Linked DNA regions of Sus scrofa. The protein of the gene in region 1 interacts with the protein of each later gene in a pairwise test. Links are inferred from orthologs where the notes say so. Each region holds a gene or a part of one and is shown in the gene's direction. Other genes may lie near its edges. The genes, in order: LDOC1, NRIP1, AP1M1, PSMA1, ZGPAT, PEG10 and TNNT1.

Region 1 (4,087 bases):
GAGAAATGAAGCAAGGCAAACGTTAGAGGTTACTGGCAGAGAGTGGGGTGCTCTGATAGATGAGGTAGTTAGGAAAGTCCGCTTTGAAAATGGAGGAAGAGTCAGGCAGTAAAACCAGGAGAACATTCTGAGGCAAAAAAGAAAGTACAAAGATCCTGAGGCCAGAGCCACTCAGTGTGTGTGAGCCTCAGCAAGAAGGACAGTGTGATGACAGCAGAGCAGGAACTGGGACAAGGCAAAGGGAGTGAGGCAGGGCTTGATAGGCCATTACCGAGACTTTGGTTTTTATTTTGAGCGAAGGGGGAAAAACTATTGGAGGGTTTTGAGCAGGAAAGTAAAGAGATCTAATGTTTGTCCTAAAGGATTCCTATATCTACTCTGGAGTATGTATATAATACACACACACACACACACAACTTGAGGAAGAGAAGAGTGGAAGCTAAGTGATGAGCTGCAACAGTCTGTGTGAGAAAGGAGGGCTGGCCTTAGGGTGGTAGTGCTGTTTAGAGATCCCCAGGTAATTAAACTGCTGATATATTTAAAAAGCAAAGCTAAAAAAATATATTGGCCCCAAGGTCCTCACCCTGACTTATTTGTCAACTATTTGAATAATCACATTCAAAGTAGAAAACAAAACTATTTTAAAAACACATGTGTTCATTGTTAAGCAAAGAACAATAACCAGTAGTAGGACATGAAATAGAGTCAAAGATAGGCAGGACTCATGCAAATGGTGATTGGATACTAACTTTTGCAGAACTTTTTACACTTTGCTATTTAAAAGTAATTTTAAACAAAAGGATAGAGGTACACAATATTATTTTACAACTAAAGAAAAACCTCTTTTTAAGTATTACTTTGTCATGAAAGACAGGACTCCTGAACGTCTTTCATAACTCTTAAAGGATGTGACTCCTGCGGTGCAGCCAGAATTGCTAATAGTTCTCTGAGTGAGGGAGATTTAAACACGCAAAGAAATGTGTTAAAACCACATAAATGGAATCTGGTGGCCACAGACCCACCGAGGAACATTGAGTCGTTTGGGTTGAAGGGTGGTTAATCCTTTAAACTTGAGCAGGTTAACCCTCTCTGGGAGATGGATCTTAGCGTTTGCTCGGCCTTGGCTAAGGCCTGGCCCGCATCTAGGGCTGGATCTCCCCCCACTGCCTTTATCCACGGGCCGGGAGAACTGCGAGCCAGCAGCCCGAGACCCTGCCCGCCTCCTTGCCTGGCCACGCCCTCCCTCTGTCCGCTCCACTCTGGCCACGCCCCTCCTTTCTCCAGTGCCCGCCTCCCTCCAAGCGGGCGGCGCCGGCGTGCCGGCCGTCAGAGCCGCTGTGTGGGTGGAGCTTGCGCAGCTGCCGGGACCCCTGCGCGCACCGCCTCTCGCCCCTGGCCGCCGCGCGCCTCCGCGGACACGCACTTCCTGCAAGGCCTCCTTGCTCACCTTAGCCGATCCGAACCGAGCTGAGCCCATTCTTGCTCTTACAAGCTGTTCGCCATGGTGGACGAGCTGGTACTGCTGCTGCACGCGCTCCTGATGCGGCACCGCGCCTTGAGCATCGAGAACAGCCAGCTCATGGAACAGCTGCGGCTGCTGGTGTGCGAGAGGGCCACCCTACTGCGCCAGGTACGTCCGCCGAGCTGCCCGGTGCCCTTCCCCGAAACGTTTAACGGTGAGAGCTCCCGCCTCCCTGAGTTTATCGTGCAGACGGCGTCTTACATGCTCGTCAACGAGAACCGGTTCTGCAACGACGCCATGAAGGTGGCATTCCTAATCAGCCTGCTCACCGGGGAAGCCGAAGAGTGGGTGGTGCCCTACATTGAGATGGATAGCCCCATCCTAGGTGATTACCGGGCCTTCCTCGATGAGATGAAGCAGTGTTTTGGCTGGGATGACGACGAAGAAGACGACGAAGAAGATGAAGAAGCTGATTACTAGGCCGGGAGACCCTCGGGCCTAGGGGGGTGGGCCCTGCACGCCGCCACCACCCCCCGCCCCGCTTCGCTCCTCCCGGAGCCGCGACACTTCCCTCGCTCCCTATCTGCTTCCCTAGTCTTCCTAGTCTTCGCTCTGGTTCTCTTCCTTATTCACCGCTCCCCCCCCCCCCCCCCCCCCCCCGTAGTGTTTGTCTTTGTTCTGGGAATAGTGCTACAGTTACCTGCTGCTGGGGCTGGGGCCTCTCTGAAGTGCGCTGCCTCCCACTCAGGCCAGTCCCAGGGCCCAACCCTGCTAATTTGAACTGTGTTCTGAGCCCCAACTATAGGGCAGACTGTTACAAACTGGTCAGACTACCCACAGCCCTGCCGATTGTCAGGCCTACATCTGCCCAAAGACCGACGCTGCCACCTAACCAACCTCCATCACATTCCAGCGACAGACAGACCAGGCCTTTGGAGACAAGGACCAACCTAGAAGATGCTTTTAGTTGGCTATACCACCTGGGACATTGATTTGGACTGCTCACGCCCACCCCACCCCCCCACGAGGGGCGAATCTTTGCACCTGGTTCGTTCCCTCCTTTCCTAACTCATAGAGTCTTCTCCTGCCTCACCAGGTTGCTGCAGGGGCCCGTTGTGCCTGGCAGCCAAATTATTGACATTTCTCTTATGCACCAGTTTTGCACAACTGTCATTTTTCTTTTAAAACTGAAGCAGTCCCACAGCTGTGTGCATTTGGACAAAAATACTAAAAACAAAAACCAGACAGACAAAAGCAGGTACTCAGCCCAGCTCCTCAATACTACATAGAAAAAGCATTTGCATTCTTTTCAATAAATATCAAGCACTACGGAAAAAAAAGAGCGTCTTTTAATGGTTAAGTGCTATCATTGGCCTTTGCCACTCTCACCCTGACTCCCATTATTCCTACTGATATCAGAGAGCCTAGTTCAATCCCATTATTCTCTACTGTCATGTCTGGGCAATAGAGGACTGCTACTACAGAGCTTTATAGGGAAACTGGTGCTCCCCTCACCAAGGCACTTTTTAAAGCCCTGGTGAAGTGAGTGTCCTCTGGGGCTTCCAGGATGGGATGAATAAGGGGTAGTTGAGTAGATGGCACACCATCCCAAACTGGGACACTCGAGAGAAAAAGGGGGCACTATTACTAATCGGAATGGGACAATAGGCGTACATCAGGGCACATACCATATTCCTGTCTTCCTGAGCTTTTGGGTTCTTTCTCAGCCCTGCCAGGCAAGTGCTGCCTCTTAACTCTTATTCCTTGCAGGGTGCTGTTTGAGTTCAGGCTTCCATAAACAAGGTAGCACATTGTTTCAATACCGATTTTAGATGCTTGAGCTAATGTTAAATCCTGAGTCCTGGGTAAATGCACCCATAAGTGGAGCCAGATTTTAATGTTTCATCCTCCTTGGGCAGATAACCCTTAAGATCCCCACCCATCTGTGTGCCCCAGATTCCTGCCTGTAGAAATCGACAAGATGCCTGGCTATCTCCCATACTAGATCTTGTAATGCTGTCTGAGCTGTGCTGAGATCTTTTTGTGGGCCTGGAGGGCTGGAGGCCCTAAGGGAGTGGGGTGAGTGCTGAGAATAATCTCTACTTTTGTGAGCCCATAACCCCAGGTTAAGTCTTTGAAATGTTAAATCAGGGAAGCCTGATTAGGGGATTTGTGGGGCCTATCGCTGCCAGCCAGGAACTGTCAGGAGGATTTGAGGGGTTCAGAATTCTGATTCTTACATGTATCTGCCCAGATGTCTTCTGTACCATGCCGGGAACCAGCCCTACTTTAGAACCTCTAATTTAGATAATAAAATTCCTTCTTGTTTAAGACCTTTTGATGCTGAGTGTTTTATTTGTACCAATAAACCTTACATTGTGGGTTCAATGAGATACAGGGAACAGGTCTCTTGCTGTTGAGCTGGGCTTCAGTAGGAAGGTGTTAGGAGTGAACAGGAGCAGAATAAGCTCAGCAGAGAGAATGGAAATGAGAGCATGACAAGAGTTCATTTTTACTCTTTGGGATCTGACATGAAGTCAGATAGAAAACCAGTTTACTTGGTGAACAGACAAAGTCTAGAGCAAGAGTCATCTTTTGGACCTAAGAAAGTTGTTTCTGTAGGGT
Region 2 (4,294 bases), on another chromosome or scaffold:
TAGTCACTAGTTCATGGTGTAGAAAGTGGGCTCAATACTTCTCAATGTCCATTTTTGTTTTCTTCACACTTTGCTACTTAAAGAGTCTTTTCCTTTTCTGAGAACCGCTTTCCACTTTGCCTACTTGGCAAATTCTTCTTACCTATGAATGGCCAGCTGAAGCACTCTGTTCTCTGTAAAACTTTCCCTGAATTGCCTTACCCCACACCTGAACCCCAAGTAGAATTAAAGACTCTGTCCTGTGGCTATGACAGTATCTTGTCCAATATCTACCGGATGGCTACCGCTGGCACACACAGTGTGCCAGGGATAAGTGATGGAGGTACCCAAATGTGAACGAGAGGGATATGGCCCCTGGGGCTGTAGTACTTGAACTTAGAATGGTTAAACATCCTGTCACCAACTGGTGTGAACAATGCTCTAGCAGGACAGACTCAGGGAGCACATCATAAGCACGCCTCTCCCAGATGCCTTCTTTGTGGGGGATGAACATATTGAGCCCGAACTGTAAGTCTCTGAGCCCACAGGAACCCCAGGGTTTGTAAACCTACTTGTGTGTTTAAGTATATAAGCTCAAGGGTGTCTTTTTCACATCACGATTGGTTATATGAGAGTTGTCTTCACTACACAAATTACTGAATAGGCATTCTTATATTACATATATGCCCCAGTATCCTTGCAATGACTCTCTTAGCCAGGAAACTTAGGTATTGATTTTTTCAAAAAAAAAAAAAAAAAACAAAGAACAACAAAATAGCCCCAACACAATTAGAATGATTAAGTAAAAATGAATTCTGCAAAAGGTGTGCAATTTACTTAACACTAATGCACTACCAAAAAGAGTTCAGGATTTCAATGATTGGAGTTCTGTGAGGTTGAGAAGAGAGCTTAATAATGAGGTGAGCAGCTTTGTTAAGTCACCTAACATATTGCAGCAGACTTTTTTAACACTAGTGTTGGAGGGCAAGACCAAAACTTGATATAACCTGACTTAGGAAGTTGTTTATCTACCAACTGCAATCATCTAAAACTCTTGCTAAGAAGCAAAAAGAATATTTTCAGAGCAACAGTTGAGCGGTCCAAATGTGTCACAGAATCTATGCACTAAGGTTCATGTGCTTTACTCCTTGGTGAGCACATTAGTTCCTTCCAGGGAACCCACTCAGTTTTACTTTAGACTGTATTGTGACAAGTGAGGCTATCTGGATTCTCAGACCTCACCAGACTAGCAGCTGCCAATCAGAAGAGGAGGAGAATGTTGGAGGCAGGCATGCTGGCAAAAGAGAGAAAAGACACCAGATTGTCAGTTAGAGAAGGGGGAGAGAAACTACAACGGGCAGAGATAATCACTCAGTCCCAGTATCCCAGAGTCTTTCAGGGCAGAGACTGATGGCTTATATACCTCCTGGGAGCAGCCTTAACACCTTGGAAGAAGCCTGATAAAGAACAGGAACTGGACGTAGTTGCTAAATCCACTATAACCTACTATATAATAAACACTTTAAATAAAATTAACCCAGAATTTCGACAAAAAGCCAAACTGTTTTAGAAAACAGAAATATTTATAATACATAGAAAACATTTGTACAAGAGTTAAAACAAGTTTGACTTTTTTTATTTTTAAACAAGTTTGACTCCTTAAAGAGCCAAGCTCCAATTATGCTGATCATCACTTAATTGGAAGACTTGGCTTTGCATCAATCCTGGGTTAATGTTATGCTATAGAACAGCAGACTTTACCAAGTTGTCTTGAACAGATTTCAAACAGTGGTATATGCAAATAACAAACTATCATAAGAGGTCTAAACTGTATAAGAGGGCGACAGACTGCACAGTTGAATCAACCACCAGAGTGATGTAAAAGAATTGTTCTAAAATGCAGTATCACCATGGAGCAAAATAAACCTACCATGTACCCAGCACTGTGCTACGGGCTGGATTTAAGAATTAATTTGAAAAATTGCTTTCACTTTTCAGATTGTGAAGGTATTCCAGAACTCTCATTCATATTTGTAAAGGTTAAATGACATTTTAAATGCACAGCACAGCCATTACATAACAGGCATAGAATACTGTTTATGACTTGGATAGTTCTTTTTTTTAAGTGCACCAGCAACTCTATTTTCAAATGCTATGGAATTCACAAGGTTTCCTACATAGAAGAATGGAATGCCTCATCCACTCACTTGTTTTGTGTAATAAGTGTTTTAAAACAGGCATGCCATTTCGGAGTTTAAAGGGAGGCTAAGCTGCACTTTAGCGTTTCGGAGCAAGCAAAAACAATTTCAGCAACGGTACTCATTTCCCCCGGTAATTTTGTTTTTCATGGCGAGTTACTAAATGCTAGATGCTAGTAGTCAAAAAGAAACCTGACATCTGGGGAGGTGTTGAGGGGGTGTTAATAGTTCTAGTTAGATGTCTGGGGAGCGCTGAGGATAAGATTTTAAAACAGCAAATACAGGGAGAAAGGGGAAATTACGGTTTCGTATGACTCTCTCCTCCCTCCACTTTCTCTCTTCACCAATCCTTATCCCCCTCAATTTAGAGGCGGGTTCAGCGAGATCTGGCTGCAGGAAACCAAGAGGCTCCACCGCGCTGCCGCCCCAGCCTCGTGATGTAATTGTTATTTCTTATTCGGAGCTTGAACCAGGGAGAGCTGCTGAAGAAGTGGCAGCCCTGTGCCTTTTGCCTTGTCTGGTCGGGTCAGATTCTTCCCGGGGATGATGTAGATTCGCTGACGGACTCCGCTGGAGACTTCGCAGTGACAAAGCAGCTGAAGAAAAACCCTGCTCCTGGGTCCTCCGTCCGTCTGGGGAGCCGAACGGAGCACTCCTCAGGTCTCCTTCCCAGTTTTCCTCTGGGAGTCACTCCGCATTTAATCCCTGGGTGCCTCCTACGTGCTGGGCGTGGGGTCCAAGTGACCTGCAGTTAGTGCCCCTGTCCCCCAAGATTAAAGCAAGACACACAGATTACAAGGTGGTGGAAGTTGGGGGTGGCGAGAAGGGGCCAAGGGGACGCGTGTCCTGGGGTGAAATGGAAGGAGGGGGCTCCTGAGGCGTCAGCACCCAGGAGGGGACCCCGGGCGTTCGGGTCCCCGGGCTGTGCCCCCCAAGGCGAGCATTTGCCCTGTGGAATGAGCTCGATGCCCCGGGCCCCTGGGACGAGCTGTCCCGGCGCCTTCGGCGGTGGGGGCGGCTGGACAGAGCCGGGAGCCGCGGGGGACTGCGCGAGCGCGTGGAGCAGCTACCTCTCCCCGCCACCGCGATCCTCCCGCAGCCGCGGGTCCCCGCAGCCCCCGCCCGACAGTCCGAAGGGCGGGCTAGGAGGAAAACAGCCAACCGAGGGGGGCTCCTCGGCTCCCGCGTGCTGCCGGGACCCGGGCTCCTGCCTCCCGCCCCGGCCACAATGGGAAAGAGGGGGAGAAAAGGGTTAAGAAACTTGGCTGAAGAGCTGAATGGCGTGGAGCGGCGAGGGGAGGGACTGGGCCGCGGCGGACTCGGCGGCGGAGGGAGGAGCGCGGCTGCGGGCGGGCGGCGAGCGAGGCGCTCAAAGTCAGCCTCGCAGACATTGCAGCAGAGCCCCGAACTCGGGAGGCGGCGGCGGCCGTGGCGGCGGAGGAGGAGGAGGAGGAGGAGAAGGCGGCCGAGGCGGAGGGACGATCCGGCCCCACGCCCGCGCGCCAGCCAGTGGCCTCGCGTCTGCTGCTGCGCTCAGCAGCGCTGCTGGTCGGAGGAAAGAGCTCGCCGGGGCGCCGGGGGAGGACCGGGCGGCGGGGCGCCTAGGCGGAGTGAGCTTGCCGGAGCCCGGGGCTTGGAGCCGCGGCGGCCTCGGGTGAGTGGCGGCCGCGGCCGGGGGGCTCAGAGGAGCGGCCGCTGGCGCCGCCGGAAACGACCCGGGAGCGCGGCCCGCGGCGGCGGCGGCGGCGTTGGCAGGCAGGGCCGCGGGGGCGTCGGGGCGTCGGGCCGGGGCTGCCTGCTGCGGGAACGGACGCGGACAGCACGGTGGGCTCGGCGGCCGGGCGATGTGTGGGGGTGGTTTCCGGGGAAATCCTGCCTCTCCTGCGGTGTTCGAATCTCCCCGGGAACTCGGGGGGCCCGGGCAGCGGGGCCGCAAGTTGGGGAGTTGGCTCCGGGCTCACTGGCGGGTCCGTGCGGGTCCTGGGCCGTGGGGCGGCCGCCTGGTGGCCCCGGAGCCGGGCCGGATACTGGGGGTCCGGGCCAGGGTCGTGCCCTGCTCGGCTGCTCTCTCGGCCCGGAGCCCTTCTCGCCTTGCAGCTCTGGGTCTCGCCGCCCCG
Region 3 (3,500 bases), on another chromosome or scaffold:
CACGTGAGTGCTTCCACCCCTGCTCCTCCCTGAGGGCAGCCTCTCCTGTCTGCTTGGCTGGGTGGGAACTATCCCCATCCAGGGTGAGTCTCACTGCGAGGTGATGCCCAGGATGAACACAGCTCCCCACAGGCAGCCTGGACTCCTAGGAGCCTGATTGACAAGGCAAGGTTCCGACGTTCTGAGGGGTCAGGCCCCTTTGCTCTGCTCTGTTTCCAGGCAGCCCCAGCAGAACATCTCTGGTGATGTTTTCTGCATTTTCACCAAGGCTTGGCAGCTGCTGGATGCCTTATTCTCTATGCTCTGACCCATCCTGGCACCAGCTCTGGATTCCTCCAAGCACCCCGGGCAGCAGTGCCCCAGGCTCACACCTGGCCAAGTGGTCCCTTGCCCTGGGGCTCAGTTTCCCCTCTGTGAAGCGGGGCTTTGTAAAATCACCAGGTCTGAGTACCGTCTTCACTCTCCCCAACAGGTCAAGCCCTTGATCTGGATTGAGTCTGTGATTGAAAAGCATTCCCACAGCCGCATTGAATACATGATCAAGGTATGTGTGTGTCCTGCATGCAGCATCAGCTGGGAGTGCAGGGTTGTTGAGGGGGGTATGGGCGGCCCCTCCTGGTACAGGCCTTTGGCCTTTGGCACAGGCCCTAACCCAGGACTGGGGGCATACCGGGGCTCTGTGACCCCTGCCCCCAGGTGTCAGGCCTGTGGCTGTCATCTGTGCTGCCCCTCTCTGACCTCACACAGAGAGCAGGTCTGGGGCAGGGAGGGGTCACACCACCCAGATCCTAGGTGCGGCCACCATGGCAGTGGCCTGTGACCAAGCATCTAGGTGTGCCATCTTGCCACTCAGTGATCTCATCAAGCCCAGGCAAGCCATGGTGACACAGACATTGTCCCAGGAGGCCAGGGCTGGGCCAGAGGAAGGGATGAGGAGTCCCAAAGGCCAAGGGGACAGGAAGGCAGAGACCGAACTTCTGAAGTTGAGCTTAAGGAAGATCTCAAGGGGTGGCGTGAGGGTCAGCTCCGTGTCAGAGTTGGGCATCCCACAGGTCAGGCCAAGGGACATGTGGCCCTCGAGGGAGTAGGCAGTCGGGGGAGCTGGACTGTCTCACCTTCACCCTCCACCCTCATCTCCAGGCAAAGAGCCAATTCAAGCGACGGTCAACAGCCAACAACGTGGAAATCCACATACCCGTGCCCAACGATGCCGACTCACCCAAGTTCAAGACAACAGTGGGAAGCGTCAAGTGGGTCCCCGAGAACAGTGAGATCGTGTGGTCCATCAAGTCCTTCCCGGTGAGCACCTTTCTCAGTGGGGCGCCCCCTCCAGCCTTCCACCCACACTCACCTGCTCCCTGTGCCCAGCACAGCATGGCAACCTGACTGTTGGGGAGCCTTGCAGCTCTAACGGCACAGGGCAGGATCCCCACCTGGGGCTTTAGGAAGGTTCAGGAGGGAGAGTGGATGGAGTGCTGAAAGGAGAGCAGGCAGAGGCAGGGGGTGGCGCTGGCTCCAGGCCACCCCACCTTCCTCTTGTTTGTGAACCGGCCTATCCTCAGCATCAGGGCAGTGCCCAGCCCTCCCTCCTCCTTTCCCTCTGGCACTGCTGTTCAGTGCTCAGCTCCCCTCCAGGGGAACAGACTGCTCTGGGGCCAGACCACATGGTTTAGGAAATCCAGCACCAGCTCCAGACACAGAGAGCACCTCCTGCCTGGGCCAGCTCCACATGCTGGCATGGCCCATTGGCTTGTATTCAATCTGAGCACTTGAGCCTGGGTTTGTGGGAAGAGTGCCTGGGGAGACAGGAAGGAGAGAATGGAAGACAAGTGTGAGGCCATCACACCAGGCCATCACTGTTACGGTGATAAACATGCTGGAACACCATTTTTATGTTTCAGAGCGCTGTTTGCGTTTCTCTGGAAACTGTAGTAGCTGTCTCTGGCTCACTTTTTTGTCCCGTTTGGTCGTTTTCTTCTTGGTTTCCAAAAGCTCTTTATACATGGGCAAGATTAGTACCTTTTCTTTGACATGACTTGGAAATAGTTTTCCTCAGTTTGCTGATGGCTTTTTTTTTTTTTCCTCCCCATGGCCACACCCACGGTATATGGAAGTTCTTGGGCCAGAGATTGAATCCAAGCTGCAACTGTGACCTACCCCACAGCTGTAGCAATGCTAGAACCTTAACCCAGCAACCTGAGCCACTGCAGGTACAACACTGGGTTCTTAATCTGCTGTGCCATAGCAGGAACTCCCTCAGTGTCTTTAAAGGTACTTTAATTTAACTGTAACATGCAGAATAGTAACATATGATATGTGATCAAGAATTTTCTCCAAGAGAATACATCTGTGTATCTGGTGCCAGATAAAAGCCACCAAACACTCTTTATCCCCAGGACACCCCAAGGATCTCTTCTGCTTTTGCACATTTCTCATTAAGATGATTTTTAAATCAATGTTTTAGTAAATGGAGCCTCCTTTTCCATTATATCTTCCAGTATAGGTTGCCAGCATTCATATGGTAATTTTATATCCTGGTATCCTACTAAATTTCTTATTTGCTGTAGCTTTTCTTTCAACTTTCATAATTATTCTTTCATATCGTTCACAGCCAGGTGCAGTTTCCCCTTTTCCTCTTCTATTCTTGGGCATCTTGTGGCTTCTGGCATCTCACTGCTGGGGTTGCCATCTCCAGCACCTGTAAGTGGCTGTGGAGAGAGCAGCCTCCTGGCTTTGCCTCAAATGGAGCTGCCAGGTTTCCCTTCCAAGTATATTGATGCTGCAACTCACTCCAATCCTACTTTACTGTGTTTGTAGCACAAATGGGCAATGAATTTAGCCAAATGCCTCTTCATTGTCTATTCATTCAGATATATTAATGGGATAGATCTTGAACTATCCATGCATTCTGGCGAGCTTCATGGTATATTTTCTTTCTTTTTTTTTATTACTCAAATGAATTTAGCACATCTGTAGTTGTATAATGATCATAACAATCTGATTTCACAGGATTTCCATCCCACAGCCCAAGCACATCCCCCCACCCCCCAAACTGTCTCCTCCAGAGACCATAAGTTTTTCAATGTCTGTGAGTCAGTATCTGTTCTGCAAAGAAGTTCCATCTGTCCTTTTTTCAGATTCCACATGTCAGTGAAAGCATTTGATGTTGGTGTCTCATTGTATGGCTGACTTCACTTAGCATGATAGTTTCTAGGTCCATCCATGTTGCAAAATAAGCTGGTATTTCATTCTTTTTAATGGCTGAGTAATATTCCATTGTGCATATGTACCACATCTTCTGGATCCACTCCTCTGTCGATGGACATTTAGGTTGTTTCCATGTTTGGGCTATTGTAAATAGTGCTGCAATGAACATTGGAGTACATGTGTCTTTGCGAGTAGTGGTTTTTTCTGGGTAGATGCCCAGGAGTGGGATTGCTGGATCAAATGGTAGTTCTGTGTTTAGTTTTCTGAGGAATCTCCATACTGCTTTCCACAGT
Region 4 (3,500 bases), on another chromosome or scaffold:
GTCTATTTAGAGGGCACAATCAGAACTTGCAGCTCATCAGAAAAAAATCCTCCATGTTGATAACCATATCGGTATCTCAATTGCGGGACTTACTGCCGATGCTAGACTGTTATGGTGAGTATGATCATGAAAAACAAAGGAAACATCTCTTGATTCATAATTGATTATATTCTAGAAAAGATCCAGATGTTTTACAGGTATTCTATTCTGCCAGAATGTTTAGAAGATTGTGTATACCTTAGTGAAGTTGGGCTCAGTTACTCAGTATCCCATTTCTTGATCCTCTGTGTAGTAACTAATAGAATTAGCCATACTAATATTAATGCCTTTGAGAAGTCATTCAATGATGTGATACTTGTTAACTCAGTGTATAGTGTTTGATATTATGTCTGAGAAGAGCTTGACACTTTTGTTGGGTTTGCGAGGATCAGATGAACCACCTTTGCTTTCTCTAATACACCAGTATTTATTTGATGTTTATTTTTTGCAAAGCTCAGTACTGGATGCTGCAGGGTGTAAAAAGTGAATGAGATATAGATCTCATCTTCTAGGAAATTAGAATCAGTTCTATGTCTAATACACAGAAGAAAGTGGAGAGTAACAGGTATACTTCTGTATGGGACCAGATAGAGATTATTTCTATTTGAGAGGCATTATGTAAATGAAGAACTGACATTTTGGAATCACACAGACTTTAGTTTCCACTTTTATTTATTTGTTTATTGTTTTTATTGACTTTTTAGGGCCGAATCCATGGCATATGGAGGTTCCCAGGCTAGGGGTTGAATCAAGCTGAAACCGCCAGCCTGCAACACAGCCATGGTAATGCCAGATTTGAGCTGCATCTGCGACCTACGCCACAGCTCATGGCAACACTGGATCCTTAACCCACTGAGCAAGGCCAGGGATTGAACTTGAGTCGCCATGGATGCTAGTCAAATTCATTTCTTCTGAGCCATGACGGGAACTCCTTTGTTTTTTATTTTATTTTTATTTTTTTGCTTTTTAGGGTGGCATTTGAGGTATATGGAAGTTTCCAGGCTAGGGGTCACATCAGAGCTGCAGCTGCTGGCCTACACCACAGCCACAGCCACAACAATGCCAGATCTGAGATCTGTCTGTGACCTACCCCACAACTCATGGCAATGCCAGATCCTTAACACACTGAGCAAGGCCAAGGATTGAACCAGCATCCTCATTGATGCTAGTCAGGTTCCTTACTGCTGAGCCACAATGGAAACTCCTAGTTCCCACTTTTAGCACTTAGTATCTGATATTGGTCTAATTATTTAAACTCCTAATTTTCTTAGTATTTTATTGATAAATAGCCTAACATGTGGAGCACTTGACAAAGGGTCCTTTTTTTTTTTTTTTTTTGGTTCTTAAAATCTTCCCTTATTGTAACTTTGTAAACATTTATTGGATTGAATGAGGCCTAAATGATAATCATTTCATACCTGTAAATAGCACCTGCACAGTTGACAGTCCCAGTATATCAGTCCCCTGCGGTGATCACAGAGCTACCGTGAGGGGGCATGGCCCATGATAGGACCCTAAGGCATGCGACTCAGTGTGTTGCCTGGGGATGTGGAGTAGATTGGTGGTTGGACTCAACGCTGCCAGAACCCAGACTCTTCCCTCACTGCTCTCAATGGCCTGTGAGATGTCTTTGCAGAGGAACTTGGAGCAAATCGGAATCCGAGGTTGAGGCTGTGGCATGAGTGAGTGGCTGCCGCGCTCTGCCCCTTGCCCCTCCATCACCCAGGGCTGGGAACACAGTAATTGTGTTCAGCCAGTATTGAAAACCATCAGGTGTGCTGCTGGTTTGCCACTTGTGGTTCTGGAGACTTTGTTTCCCTTTCTCCTCCACCTTAGAAATAGGGAATGTAAATAGAGGCCCCTGGGAGGAGGCCTGGATTACAGTTGTTCTAGAGTCCTGTTGCTATTGATTTTGGTCATTGACGCCTGGTTGTTTTGATGAGGCTTTCCCAAACTTCCCAAGGCTCACACTTGGTACCACCCAAGTGCTCTTGTTAGCATGTTCGATTTTGTTAATTGCTACTGCTTTGCGCTTAGTGGGCAGTCACATCTACTGGCCTGCACCACCAGCTTCCTGGGCAGGAGTGAAAAGACCCCCTGCTCCTCCTATTTGCCCTGGCTCTGTCATTACCTCACAGGGTCTCAGCCACTCTGAGCTCTGTGTCACTGCTAGAACCAGCCACTCTAGTCCTGGCAATAGCCAGAGCCAAGAGTTCTTTATTTTCCTCTTGGCCCACAGTGTCTTTCAGGTGTTGTGTGGGAGGTAGTAGGGGGAAAGTAATCACTTAAGTCTGTGATTTTAATTAGGAAAGAAAGAATATAAACACTAAGGGTAAATAATAATGCTAATGTTTAAAATTTTCAAGTTGTCTGGCAAGCTCCTTGTTCTCTTAGGTCAGCAACATAGTGATAGCATTACTGGTTTCTTTTAGCTGTTTTAAAATATGTCGCATTGTCAGACATTTTATTTAACCCAATCTCTCCAAAGTATTGTTGTGTCATATGTAATCAACATAAAAACTTTGTTAATGAAATAGTTTACATTGTTTTTTTATTAAGTCTTTGAAATTTCATGTTTATTTTATAGTTATATCTCAAGTCAGACTAGCCACTTTTTCAGTGCTCACTAGTCACATGTAATTAGTACCTGCCATATTATAGGGCAGTGCAGTTTTAGACAGTCTTGGGAAGTGAACTTAAAGTAGTGAACAAGTAGTTTGGTTTCTGCAGCCAGCATTTGATCATCAGATGTGACATCCATGTAAGCTAAACAAAGCAAGATGAAAGAAAAATGCATAGCTGTTTCTTTTTTCTTTTTTTTTTTTTTTTTTCTCTTTTAGGGCCACAGCTGTGGCATGTGGAAGGGCCCAGGCTAGGAGCTGATTCCGAGCTGCAGCTGCTGGCCTACACCAGAGCCACAACAACCCAGGATCCGAGCCACATCTGCCACCTATACCACAGCTTGTGGCAACGCCAGATCCTTAACCCACTGAGCGAGGCCAGGGATCAAACCCACATCCTCATGGATACTAGTCAGGTTCTTAACCCTCTGAGCCACAGTGGGAACTCTGCGTACCTATTTCTTATTTATCCTCTTGGCTTTAATTGTAAAACATGAATCTCCTTTTCCTCAGTGTTATACTTGCTTGAATCTTGTCAAGTTTAACAGCGAGACTCAACAGTCTGGTGTCTGATATCTCCTCTAAAGTATTCCTTTTGGATAGAAGTAATGTTGGCAGGCTAATGTTAAGAGATACCTTGGAATGGATTCTATTTCTTGTATTGGCTGTATTGGGGAATTTTTTGTCAGCTTTCAGGAAAAAAAGTATTGTTTTTGCTAGTTCAAGACAGTCTTTTGAATGAACAGTCTTGTTGACAGTGGCAAGGGTAAAAGAAGAGAGATTGTTCTTTTTCTCTTGCTTATCCTTCTCTATTCTATAAAGTGCTGTGAGACAAAGCTT
Region 5 (3,500 bases), on another chromosome or scaffold:
GCGGTTCCCTGGGAGTTTTAAAATCAGCTTGTCCGTCTCTGGGTAAAAGATGGTTGGAATTGTGGTAGGAACTGCACTGAGTATCTCAGTCAGCTTGAAGGGTGTTGCCGTCCTAACAGTCTTAGGTCGGCTAATTTTGAAGGTGGGGTCTCCTTCCAGTTATGTTAAGTCTTTGATTTCTTTGCAGCGGTGTTGTGTAGTCCACAGCTCTGGTTATATATGCTTCTAAGTATTTTATTCCTTTTGACACCGTCGTGAATGAAATCAGTGTCACTTTTAGACTGTTTGTTGCTAGTGTGTTTAAACACCACTGACTTTTATTTGTTGATCTTGTATCCCTAACGTTGCCGAGTTCATTGATTCATAGGATTTTTTGTGGATTATTTAGGTCTTTCTCTTTTTCTTTCTTTCTTTTTGGATAAAGGAGAAAAAGATAGCTTTATTGCTTTGCCAGGCAAAGGGGGCCCTGGCAGGCTAACCCTTTAAAGCCCGCGTGTCCTGTTTAGGATTTTCTATGTGTGCAACCGTGTCATTGAAAAAATAGGGAGTTTTGCTTCTTCCCTTCCAGGTGGGGTGGTTTTTATTTCCCTTCTTGTTAAATGGCTTCCAGTACTGTATTGAATGAGATCAGCAAGAGCAGCCGTCCTTGTCCTGCTCCTGCGCTTAGGGAAGCACCCAGGTTTTCACCGCTGGGTGTGATGGCAGCTGTGGGTTCCCCACAGACGCTGTTTATCAGGCTGAGGGAGTTCCCTCTACCCGTGGCTTGTGGAGTGTTTTCGTCATGCGAGGGTGTCGGGGTTTTCGGTTATCCTTCTGTGTCCGTGGTGTGAAGGGGTGTTTCTTCGCTGCCTTCCGCTCGGGCGCCGTCTCCTTGGATGGGTCGCCCACGTTGAACCCCCCTGGCGTTCCCGGGCTAAACCACGCTGCGCCCTGGTGTCGAACCCTTCTAAACACTGCTTTTCTGGCTCCAGTTTGTACTTATTCTGGAGTGTGGTGTGGCGAGTATAGTGGGGGGTCGTTGGGGGGTCGGGTTTGGGGAACCCATCTTTAACGCTGTCCTCGTGAACGAAAGCCGTCCGTCGTCCCTCTTCTCCCGACTGGGCGGTGAGACGCCTCGGTCCCGCCTGAGGTGCAGGCGCGAGGGGGCCTCTTCCCGGCTGTGCGCCCACCCCCCACCCCCGCCCCGGGTCATCCGGCCTCCCACGCTCGCCCTTCACCCCATGGCTGGAAATGTGGGTTATTTCCGAGTCTTTCATGTTGGTGAAGGTGCTTGTGGCTAAGTCTGCGGGACTCTCCTCATTGTCATTACGAAGACGATGCTGAGTTACGGCCACACCCACGGCACACGGAAGTTCCTGGCCCAGGGACGGAGCCCAAGCCGCAGCTGCAGCGGAGCCGCTGCAGTCGGATTCGGGAGCTCCTGCACTGCAGTGGCAACGCCTCACTGTTATTTCGTGGGGCCGCTTCTTAGAAGCACTTGCCCGGTTAAGAAAGCTGCCGGATTTTAGGGCTTCTCGTGTTCCTGAGGATTCTTGCAGAGAGGTTTGTTGGGGGGTGTGGGGTGTGCAGGGGCCAAATGCACCCTGGGTTTAGGCCTCTTTCCTCAGATGAACAGGGCTTTTCACCCACAGCGTCCCCTGCAGTACACGTGGGGCCTGGTCTCGCAGCTGCTGGTGCCGCTTGATCTTTGGCAGTGCCCTGGGTGCCTGAGGACAGTCAGGTGCGAGAAGGAACCGAATCCTGCCCGGGAGGCGTCTGAGGCCAGCTTTGTGCCCCCCGGGAGATGACGAAAATGCCTTCTTTTCCTCACCTTTCTCACCCCGGATCCGCGCCCAGCAGCTGGTGCCCCGTCCTGGAGCGGATGCCCTCGAGGCTTAGAAGGGCTTCCTCCCGAGATGGTGGCGGCTCGGAGGAGATGTGCGGGTGGTTCCTTTGTGTCGCGATTGGGCAGAGTGAAAGGTCGCCGCGCTCTGTCCTCACACCTCCTCCTCCTCCCTCTGTTCTGGTGTCCACTTGGTTTCACGGATGCCTAGAAGCCAGGGCAGCCCTGTGCACACACGCGGACACACGCGCCTTGATCGCCCGTTAGTGTCTGGGCTCCGCGTCTGCCAGGAGGCCGTGGGAGCAGGTGGTTCTGATCACAGGGTGGCTGCCAGCCCCCTCGTGGCACTAGCCTGGAGGCTGGGGAATGGCTCCCAACACCTGGCCCCTGGGGTACCCGGGTCTGTCCTGAGAGTGGGAGCCTGGTACCTATGCATGTGTGTGCACACACGCGTGTGCATATGTACCACGGGTGTGTGCGTGTGCACACGGGTGTATGTGCTGTGTGTGCGCGCGTGCACATCTATGCATGATTGTGTATCTGTGTGTATTGTGTGCACATCTGTATGCACGTGCGTAGAGGTGCACTTGTGCATGTGTGTGTGAGAGAGTGTGCACGTGTGTGCTGTACATGTGTATTTTGTGTGGGTGTGTGCACGTATGCCTGTACACATGTTGGTGTTTACATGCGTGTGCACACGTGTGCCTGGGTTTGTGCATGAGTGCATTCATATGTGCCTGTGCTCAGTGTGTGGGCGTGTTCGGGCATGTGCAATCTGTGCACGTGCATGTGGCTGCCCTTGTTCCCCTGGCCATCCCTCTCTTCCGGGCAGCGCCCAGGCATGTCGACTGGCCTCTCATGGGCCCTGGCGGCCCGTTTCTGAGTCCACACTCTGCGGTCCCCTCTGCAGGTTCTCCCACGGGCAGGTGGTCTCTGTGGACGAGCTGCGCCCTTTCCAGGACCCGGACCTGAGCTCCCTGCAGGCCGGCTCTGCGTGTCTGGCCAAGCAGCAGGATGGCCTCTGGTACCCAGCACGGATCACTGGTGAGGCTTTCCAGGGGCCTCCCTGATGGGGCTTTTCCTGGGAAGCCCTTGCACATGTCACAGTGTTAGTCCCGGGTGCCCCCTCCTGTCGTTGGGCATTGGGACCCCACTCCATGCCCAGGAGGAGCAAGGCCACCCTTGGCCTCATCCCCACCCTGTTCCCAGTGTCCAGTGTGGCTCCTACCACGAGTCAAAGCCGCTGACCTGCTGCCTTGGTGCCCCTCCAGATGTGGACAGTGGCTACTACACGGTCAAGTTTGACTCTCTGCTGTTGAAAGAGGCCGTGGTGGAAGGGGACAGCATCCTACCCCCACTGCGCACGGAGCCCACGGGGTCCTCTGACTCAGACAACAGCGACGCGGACGACCCCAGCTATGCGCGAGGTGTGGCTGCGGCTCGGGGCCCCAGAGCAGGGAGGTGGGGTGGGACTGCGTTGGCGGGAGGAAAGCCCCGCAGGCAGGCGTGGGGGGCAGGTCCGAAGCCCCACAGACGGAGAAGCCCAGAAGGCATGGGGTCCCACACGAGCCACGGGGGCAGGGGGCGCATAGGAAGGGACCGGCATGCGTGACGCGCAGAGGGCGCTCCTTCAGGGCCTGGGTGCCTGGAGGGTGGAGGAGGGGCTGTGTGCAACAGC
Region 6 (3,500 bases), on another chromosome or scaffold:
CTTTTATCCTCATTTACAGAAACAAAAAGCTTCTGAAAACCAAAAGGCGAAAGGGCGGAAGAGGAGGCCAGGAGCCAGGCCTCCATCCCCACAGGAGTGAAGCTACACCTGGGAGGTCTCCTCCCACCCCATCTCTCACCCTGGGGCCCGACTGCCCACCACCTCCTCCTCCTCCTCCCCCCAACGACCCATCCTCCTCCAACTCCTCCTCCCCTTGCGGAGGCCAGAGGGGCCAGTACAACCCCAATCTGGCAGAGCGAAGGCGGGACGATCTCTCCGAAGAGATCAACAACCTCAGAGAGAAGGTCATGAAGCAGTCCGAGGAGAACAACAACCTGCAGAACCAGGTGCAGAAACTCACAGAGGAGAACACCTCCCTCCGTGAGCAAGTGGAGCCCGCCCCTGAGGAAGAGGAAGACGACATTGAGCTGTGCGGTGCTGCAGCTGCTGCTGCCCCAGCCACGCCCATCGAGGAAGAGTGCTCAGAAGACCTTCCTGAGAAATTTGACGGCAACCCAGACGCGCTGGTTCCTTTCATGGCCCAGTGCCAGCTCTTCATGGAAAAGAGCACCCGAGATTTCTCCGTCGATCGCGTCCGCGTCTGCTTCGTGACAAGCATGATGACCGGCCGTGCTGCCCGCTGGGCCTCCGCCAAGCTAGAGCGATCCCACTACCTGATGCACAACTACCCAGCCTTCATGACCGAAATGAAGCACGTCTTTGAAGACCCTCAGCGCCGCGAGGCTGCCAAACGCAAAATCAGACGTCTGCGCCAAGGCATGGGGTCAGTCATCGACTATTCCAACGCGTTCCAGATGATTGCACAGGATCTGGATTGGAACGAGCCTGCACTGATTGATCAGTACCACGAGGGCCTCAGTGACCACATTCAGGCAGAGCTGTCCCGCCTTGAAGTCGCCAAGTCGCTGTCCGCCCTGATCGGCCAGTGCATCCACATCGAGAGACGGCTGGCCAGGGCTGCCGCCGCGCGCAAGCCACGCTCCCCACCACGTGCGCTGGTGATGCCTCATGTCAGCAACCACCACCAGGTGGATCCCACCGAGCCCGTGGGAGGTGCCCGCATGCGCCTGACCCAAGAAGAAAAAGAAAGACGCAGAAAGCTGAACCTGTGCCTCTACTGTGGGAATGGAGGTCACTACGCCGACAACTGTCCTGCCAAGGCCTCGAAGGCTTCGCCGGCGGGAAACTCCCCGGCCCCGCTGTAGAGGGACCTTCAGCGACCGGGCCGGAATTAATAAGGTCCCCACAAGATGATGCTGCTTCATCTCCACACTTGCAAGTGATGCTCCAGATTCATCTTCCTGGCAGACACACCCTGTTCGTCCGAGCCATGATCGATTCTGGTGCTTCCGGCAACTTCATTGATCACGAATACGTCGCTCAGAATGGCATTCCTCTGAGGGTCAAGGACTGGCCAATACTTGTAGAAGCGATTGATGGACGTCCCATAGCATCGGGCCCCGTTGTCCACGAAACACACGACCTGATAGTCGACTTGGGAGATCACCGTGAGGTGCTGTCATTCGATGTGACTCAGTCTCCATTTTTCCCCATCGTCCTAGGGGTGCGCTGGCTGAGCACACACGATCCCAACATCACGTGGAGCACCCGATCGATCGTCTTCGACTCTGAATATTGCCGATACCACTGCCGGATGTATTCTCCAATACCACCACCGCTCCCACCACCAGCACAACCGTCATTCTATTACCCGGTGGAAGGGTACAGAGTTTACCAGCCAGTGAGGTATTACTACGTCCAGAATGTGTACACTCCAGTAGACGAAAACGTCTACCCAGACCACCGTCTGGTTGACCCCAACATAGAAATGATCCCTGGAGCACACAGTATTCCCAGCGGACACGTGTACTCACTGTCAGAACCTGAAATGGCAGCTCTGCGAGATTTCGTGGCCAGAAATGTGAAAGATGGGCTGATTACTCCAACCATCGCACCCAATGGAGCCCAAGTTCTCCAGGTGAAAAGGGGGTGGAAACTGCAAGTTTCTTACGACTGCCGAGCTCCCAACAATTTCACCATTCAGAACCAGTACCCTCGTCTCTCCATTCCAAATTTAGATGATCAAGCTCACCTGGCGACATACACCGAATACGTACCTCAAATACCAGGATATCCAACCTACCCCGCGTATGCCACGTACCCGACCTACCCAGTAGGATTCGCCTGGTACCCCGTGGGGCGAGACGGACATGGACGATCGCTCTATGTCCCTGTGATGATCACCTGGAACCCGCATTGGTACCGCCAGCCGCCGGTGCCCCAGTATCCGCCGCCGCAGCCGCCGCCGCCACCGCCGCCGCCGCCGCCACCACCGTCTTACAGCGCCATGTAAATACTTGTCATGTCCTTCCGGATCTCTGCCCTCAAAATGAACTCCTGTTCAGCTTCTCAATCAGTGACTGTGTGCTAAATTGGGCTACTGCATCTTTAAGCCAACCTGAGGCACAGGTTTTTTCTGAAATGGCTTAGAAAGGTCAGGGCCACCGTGGACTGGCACACATTCTAAAGCACCAACAGCCTCTGCTGTTTAATGGGAGCGACAAAATATGTACCAACAAATTACCTATGCTTTCCACCTTAACTGCCAATCTAATTAAAATTCGTAATAAGTTTACTTCCCAGCAAACCCTGGAAGCCTGGGTTTACCTGCTGAAACCTCTGTCACCAACTCAATTATGGGCTGCCAGATTCCTCATTTAACAGTTACTGAGAAGCTGATGCAAATACAGGAAATACTGTTTTCTTTATGGAGGGGGAGATGAGGAGGAGGAGGAGGACATGACCCTTCTTGCAGTTTCGGTACTCTCTTTACATCATTGGAGAACCGAGGCCTTATTAAGGAAGCCAAAATTATTGGTGCAGTGTGAATGGCTTCCGTGATCTTTTTGCTGCACCCTTTTGAAACTTCACCATCTTCAGACTCCACTCTCATGACTCAAGGAGCGGCAATTTGACTGGTTCCCCTAGGAGCAGGCAAAACCCCTGCTGCAGAAACACCTCAGGCCTCAGAAGGAAATGCTGTGAGATGGATGTTTGCATGTTGAGTGTGCCTTCACATCCTGGTGCAAATCGCATGTACCCAATAACTCTGACTTTGTCACAACACCTTACCATCATCATGCCAGCAGTGGCTTCCACAAAATGTTAAACCTGGTAACCAGAGACTATTGGTGACTCCAGGTATGTTAGATGTTTGTGAAATGTGATCACCTCTCAACCAAGTGTGAGGGCTAATATCAAAAGGACTCCTAAATCCCGTACCCAACTCTTAAAAAAGAGACTCCAAGTTAATGTTACCAACTTGACCTGGAACTTCAGAATGGATTTTCATGAACGTTGTTAATGGCTGGAAGAGCATTACCTGAAGTCTCGGGAGCATCTATCCATGTCTCTGCCTCCATATACATCTGGGCATTTCATCATCAATCCCCTCACAAAACTGTAGCACTAGGATGCTT
Region 7 (4,139 bases), on another chromosome or scaffold:
TCAACTCTATTCCAATAAAATTAAATAATAATTCAAGAAGGAGTAAGAAAAGAAATTGGGAACCTCTGGGCTCGGCTGGCAGACAGTCTGGGTGTCAGGACCAGGGTGCGGGCAGTGCCTCAGAATCTGGAGGTTTAGGAATTGAGGTCTCAGGATCTGAAATCTTATGATTGGAGGTATTAGAATTTGTGGAGTCATATTTTGGGGTATCAGGAATCGGGCCCCTGAGTCTGGGCATCCAGGTTTTGGGGTCTCATAAGCTTAAGGTTCCCAAATTTAAGGATTCAAGACTGAGGGGGTCAAGGTTTTAGGGTGGCCAGGCCCATAATCTGGAGTATCAACAGTTGGGGTGTCAGAATCCGGAGATATGAGGACTTAGCCATCTTCAGAATTCCTAAATTGGGATCTGTGGGTATTAAGATTTGGGGACCTCAGATTTGGGGGAGTCTTAGTATTTAGGGGTCAGGATGAGGTCTGGGGACAGAAGCTGCTCTTGTGTGTCCTGTCCCCTCCACAGCTGTGGGTGAAGGTGACTGATAACCAGCCAAAGGGGAGGGGACAAGGGTGGCAGAGGGGAGTGGGTATGATGAATTCTCCCAGAACCCCTCCTCCTAGAATACTTTTTAGATGTCCTCTGTGTCACCCTCCACGACATCCCCCCAAAATAGCCCTTGGGGGTGGGGCAGCTATTGTCTTCAGGCCACTGTGTCTTCCCCAAATACCTTCCCCTAATCCCTCCTCAGATCAGGTTCCAAAGGACTTGTCATAAGACAAAAGAGGGCAGCTGTGGTGAGGGGGTGGGGCCTGTGGCTTTGGGGTTGGTGGGGCCATACCTTCCCAAGCCCTGTCTTCATCCGCGGTTTAGGAATCTTTGGGAGTTGAGGGCCCCCAGCTCCTCCTCCCCCAGACCCAGGGGTCCTGTCCCAGCCCCTTCTCCCTCAGACCCAGGGGTCCTGCCCCAGCCCCTTCTCCCTCAGACCCAGGGGTCCTGCCCCAGCCCCTTCTCCCTCAGACCCAGGGGTCCAGCCCCCAGCTCCTCCTCCCTCAGACCCGGGGGTCCAGCCCCAGGCCCCCGGCCTCAGACCCAGGATCCAGCCCCCAGCTCCTCCTCCCTTGGACCCAGGGGTCCAGGTCCCAGCCCCTCCTCCCTCAGACCCTGGAGTCCTGCCCCAGCCCCTCCTCCTCCAGACCCAGGGGTCCAGCCCCAGCCCCCCCCCCCCCCGTCAGACCCAGGATCCAGCCCCCAGCCCCTCGTCCCTCAGACCCGGGCGTCGGGACCCCAGGTCGGGGATCCCGAGTCCCTCGTTTGGACCCCCGTTCTCTGCCTCTCTAGGTCACGCCAGGATGTCTGACGCCGAAGAGCAGGAATATGAGGAGTGAGTGATGCTGGCGGGAGGGCTGGGGGCTCGGAGCGGGGGAGACCCCCTCCGCCTCCGAGGCGCCTAACTCTCCCCCTCCCTCTTTTCTCCCCGCCCGGGTCCTCAGGGAGCAGCCTGAAGGTGAGTGCACTTCGGCCCACCCCGCCCGACCGGCCCGACGCCCATCCTCCTGGGAGGGAAAAGCCCATCGTGCCCGGCGGCCGCTGAGGCTGACGGGTCCCCCCCCCCGCCCCGCCCAGCTGAGACTCGAGCCCGAACCTGGGTCTCTGCCCCCTCACCCACTGGGTCCCCTCTCTGAAAGCCCTTCCACCCCGGGTCCCCCTGGGCCCCTAACCCCTCTTCTCTCTCCCCGACCCCTTCCAGAAGAGGAGGCTGCTGAGGAGGAGGAAGGTGAGGCCCCGGACTCCGCAGGTCTGGAGCTGGACGCAGGTCTGGGGGGGTGGGGGACAGGCGGGTGGGTGGGGGGCCCGCTGGTCCAGGGGTGCAGGCCGGGCGGGGCGCGGGGCTTTCGGGGTTCTCGGCCTCAGTTCCTTTAACAGCCTCTCCCCTCTCTCCCCTCTCTCCCCCCCTGCATCCGGGCCTGGCCGCTCCCCTCCCCTGGCTCCCCAAACCCTCGCTTCTCCTCCTGCCCCCTCCCCAGCCCCCGAGGAGCCAGAGCCGGTGGCAGAGCGAGGTAACCGCGGCTGCTTCGCTTCCTGAGACCAATTGCGGGGTGTCCTCTGGGCCCTGACCTCCACGAGAACTCCCTCCCCGCCCCCATAACCCGCCCCGGACCCGGTCCTTTAAGCCCCGGAGAGCCCGCGCGCCCTCTGGTGGCCACGAAGGGAAATAGCCTCGCAGCGGCTTTAACCCGTTCCCTTCCTTCTTAAAGGGACCGACACCCAAGCCTTCTTCCCCAGACTGGAGGAATACTTATAGAAGGGTTGGATGTTTGCGGAGAGGCACCCCTCCTCCCCTCTCATCTTCGCCTGTTATTTTTCTCCCCCATATACATTCAAAGGTTGGGGCCTGGGTTGCAGAAGGGGGTAGCAGTGGGGGTCTGGATTCCTGTGTCCCCAAGGGGGAGGTGGCTGGGGACACAACTCCAGGGTCCCCGAGTGAACAGAGGGCTTGGGGAGGAGGGCAGGAGCTCTGGGTCTGCAGAAGGAGGGTGGGGGGTTTGGAAGCCTGGTTTCCCAGCGAAGCGAGTGGAGGGGGGGAATCCCCACACCGGTTCTGAATGTATATCTGATGCGTGTGACCCCTCCCTCCCTTTACGGCCACCCCGATTTCCCTTCTCCTCTTTTACCCCCGCCATACCCCTCCCCCAGGGCTGCAGGACAAGGGAACTGGGCCTGGGGACCAAGTCTTGGGGGGGCGAGGAGGGCCCACCTTTGGGTGTGTCGCGTCCTCCCACGCCCACAAACTCTTGCTAATTGTGTCTTTGTATCCCCCCCCCCAACAGAAGAGGAGCGCCCCAAGCCAAGGTGAGATCCTAGGGCTGGGGGTGGGGTCTCTTAGATCTAGCCCCTGCCTTCAGAGACAGGGTGCAAAAAAAGACGGGAGGAGGAGTTCCCGTCGTGGCGCAGTGGTTAATGAATCCGACTAGGAACCATGAGGTGGCAGGTTCCATCCCTGGCCTTGCTCCGTGGGTTAAGGATCCGGCATTGCCGTGAGCTGTGGTGTAGGTCGCAGACACGGCTCGGACCCCGCGTTGCTGTGGCTGTGGTGTAGGCCGGTGGCTACAGCTCCGATTGGACCCCTAGCCTGGGAACCTCCATAGGCCGCAGGAGCAGCCCTAGAAAAGGCAAAAGACAAAAAAGAAAAAAAAAAAAAAAAAAAAAAAGACAGAGGAGAGGGGGAGGGACACCTACGAAAGGACAGTGATTCTGTCCTTCAGCAAACATTTCTGGTGAACTTCCCATGGTATTTGATGAGTCAGAGTGTGGCTGCCCTGCTGGTGAAGCAGACCCAGATACAAAGATGGTAGCACAGAAGAGGCCCTAGCTATGCCCGGTGGCAGTCATGGAGGGCTTCCTGGGGGAGGTGCTGCCCTGAGTCCTGGGAGTTTGCTAATTGAAGGAGGTGGGAGAGATTGTAGTCGAGGAAGCAATGCAGAAGGTGCAAGGTCCAGCGGCCAGATCTCGGCCAGTCTTTGAGGATCCAAGCTCTGCAGACAGGTGGAGGCCAGGCTGTGAGAGCTCCTTGGGAGAGGGAGAGGAGACCTGGAGGTGGGGACCTTGGGGCCAGAGATTGGTGTTGCAATCTGAGCATGAGATGCAGTGGACAGTGGAGTTTCACCACGGCTTGAGGGATGAGGAGGCAGAGTCAGATGGGAGTGAGGACACAGCTGGGCTGCAGCATCAGGAAAGCTCGTTGGAGGCAGGAAGGCCTCAGGTGCGGAGAATGTCAGGCGAAGGCCATTGCAAGCTGAGCACACAGCATGTGCAAAGGCCCGGGGGCGTGAAGCCATGTGGCATGGCCAGAGAACTGTAGAATTTGGTGAGTTTTCAGGGAAGAAGGCCTAAGCCTGGGCAGGGGGCAGGGGGTGGAAAGGGGGCCACAGACGGAGAGATTTCCAGGTTGGGGAGCTCAGCTGGGGCATGGAGCCATCCGTTACCTGGAGTCTGGAGATTGGGAGAGAGTCTGAGCTGGAGACCAGTGTTGGTGAATCCTCAGTAATTGAGGAGAATCCAAGTCACAGATGAATGATATTAATCACTAGCATTTCCTACAAATGAATCAGAGGGTAAAACTCTCACCAGGGGACAAGGAGACAGC

Evidence for each region.
Region 2: the proteins of LDOC1 (region 1) and NRIP1 interact in binary tests that used the Homo sapiens proteins (3 or more experiments, as listed by UniProt). The two-hybrid records come from large-scale screens. The link is inferred for Sus scrofa from reciprocal best matches to the Homo sapiens genes LDOC1 and NRIP1.
Region 3: the proteins of LDOC1 (region 1) and AP1M1 interact in binary tests that used the Homo sapiens proteins (3 or more experiments, as listed by UniProt). The two-hybrid records come from large-scale screens. The link is inferred for Sus scrofa from reciprocal best matches to the Homo sapiens genes LDOC1 and AP1M1.
Region 4: the proteins of LDOC1 (region 1) and PSMA1 interact in binary tests that used the Homo sapiens proteins (3 or more experiments, as listed by UniProt). The two-hybrid records come from large-scale screens. The link is inferred for Sus scrofa from reciprocal best matches to the Homo sapiens genes LDOC1 and PSMA1.
Region 5: the proteins of LDOC1 (region 1) and ZGPAT interact in binary tests that used the Homo sapiens proteins (3 or more experiments, as listed by UniProt). The two-hybrid records come from large-scale screens. The link is inferred for Sus scrofa from reciprocal best matches to the Homo sapiens genes LDOC1 and ZGPAT.
Region 6: the proteins of LDOC1 (region 1) and PEG10 interact in binary tests that used the Homo sapiens proteins (3 or more experiments, as listed by UniProt). The two-hybrid records come from large-scale screens. The link is inferred for Sus scrofa from reciprocal best matches to the Homo sapiens genes LDOC1 and PEG10.
Region 7: the proteins of LDOC1 (region 1) and TNNT1 interact in binary tests that used the Homo sapiens proteins (3 or more experiments, as listed by UniProt). The two-hybrid records come from large-scale screens. The link is inferred for Sus scrofa from reciprocal best matches to the Homo sapiens genes LDOC1 and TNNT1.

The regions. Positions count from the first base shown.
Region 1 is NC_010461.5:115,579,335-115,583,421, forward strand, and holds LDOC1 (protein LDOC1), read left to right. Parts: upstream 1-1,287; 5' UTR 1,288-1,501; coding exon 1,502-1,942; 3' UTR 1,943-3,795; downstream 3,796-4,087. UniProt on the Homo sapiens protein: May have an important role in the development and/or progression of some cancers.
Region 2 is NC_010455.5:179,913,427-179,917,720, reverse strand, and holds the start of NRIP1 (nuclear receptor-interacting protein 1), read left to right. Parts: upstream 1-1,494; 5' UTR 1,495-2,837; intron 2,838-3,502; exon of another isoform or gene 3,503-3,831; intron 3,832-4,294. UniProt on the Homo sapiens protein: Modulates transcriptional activation by steroid receptors such as NR3C1, NR3C2 and ESR1. Also modulates transcriptional repression by nuclear hormone receptors.
Region 3 is NC_010444.4:61,362,129-61,365,628, reverse strand, and holds part of AP1M1 (AP-1 complex subunit mu-1), read left to right. Parts: coding exon 1-3; intron 4-472; coding exon 473-544; intron 545-1,140; coding exon 1,141-1,299; intron 1,300-3,500. UniProt on the Homo sapiens protein: Subunit of clathrin-associated adaptor protein complex 1 that plays a role in protein sorting in the trans-Golgi network (TGN) and endosomes.
Region 4 is NC_010444.4:44,743,102-44,746,601, forward strand, and holds part of PSMA1 (proteasome subunit alpha type-1), read left to right. Parts: intron 1-10; coding exon 11-114; intron 115-3,500. UniProt on the Homo sapiens protein: Component of the 20S core proteasome complex involved in the proteolytic degradation of most intracellular proteins. This complex plays numerous essential roles within the cell by associating with different regulatory particles.
Region 5 is NC_010459.5:62,647,488-62,650,987, forward strand, and holds part of ZGPAT (zinc finger CCCH-type with G patch domain-containing protein), read left to right. Parts: intron 1-2,732; coding exon 2,733-2,866; intron 2,867-3,093; coding exon 3,094-3,249; intron 3,250-3,500. UniProt on the Homo sapiens protein: Transcription repressor that specifically binds the 5'-GGAG[GA]A[GA]A-3' consensus sequence. Represses transcription by recruiting the chromatin multiprotein complex NuRD to target promoters.
Region 6 is NC_010451.4:74,480,621-74,484,120, forward strand, and holds part of PEG10 (retrotransposon-derived protein PEG10), read left to right. Parts: intron 1-19; coding exon 20-1,226; coding exon of another isoform or gene 1,227-2,374; 3' UTR 2,375-3,500.
Region 7 is NC_010448.4:59,360,811-59,364,949, reverse strand, and holds the start of TNNT1 (troponin T, slow skeletal muscle), read left to right. Parts: upstream 1-1,339; 5' UTR 1,340-1,344; coding exon 1,345-1,376; intron 1,377-1,485; coding exon 1,486-1,499; intron 1,500-1,742; coding exon 1,743-1,769; coding exon of another isoform or gene 1,770-1,814; exon of another isoform or gene 1,815-2,019; coding exon 2,020-2,052; exon of another isoform or gene 2,053-2,609; coding exon of another isoform or gene 2,610-2,823; coding exon 2,824-2,845; intron 2,846-4,139. UniProt on the Homo sapiens protein: Troponin T is the tropomyosin-binding subunit of troponin, the thin filament regulatory complex which confers calcium-sensitivity to striated muscle actomyosin ATPase activity.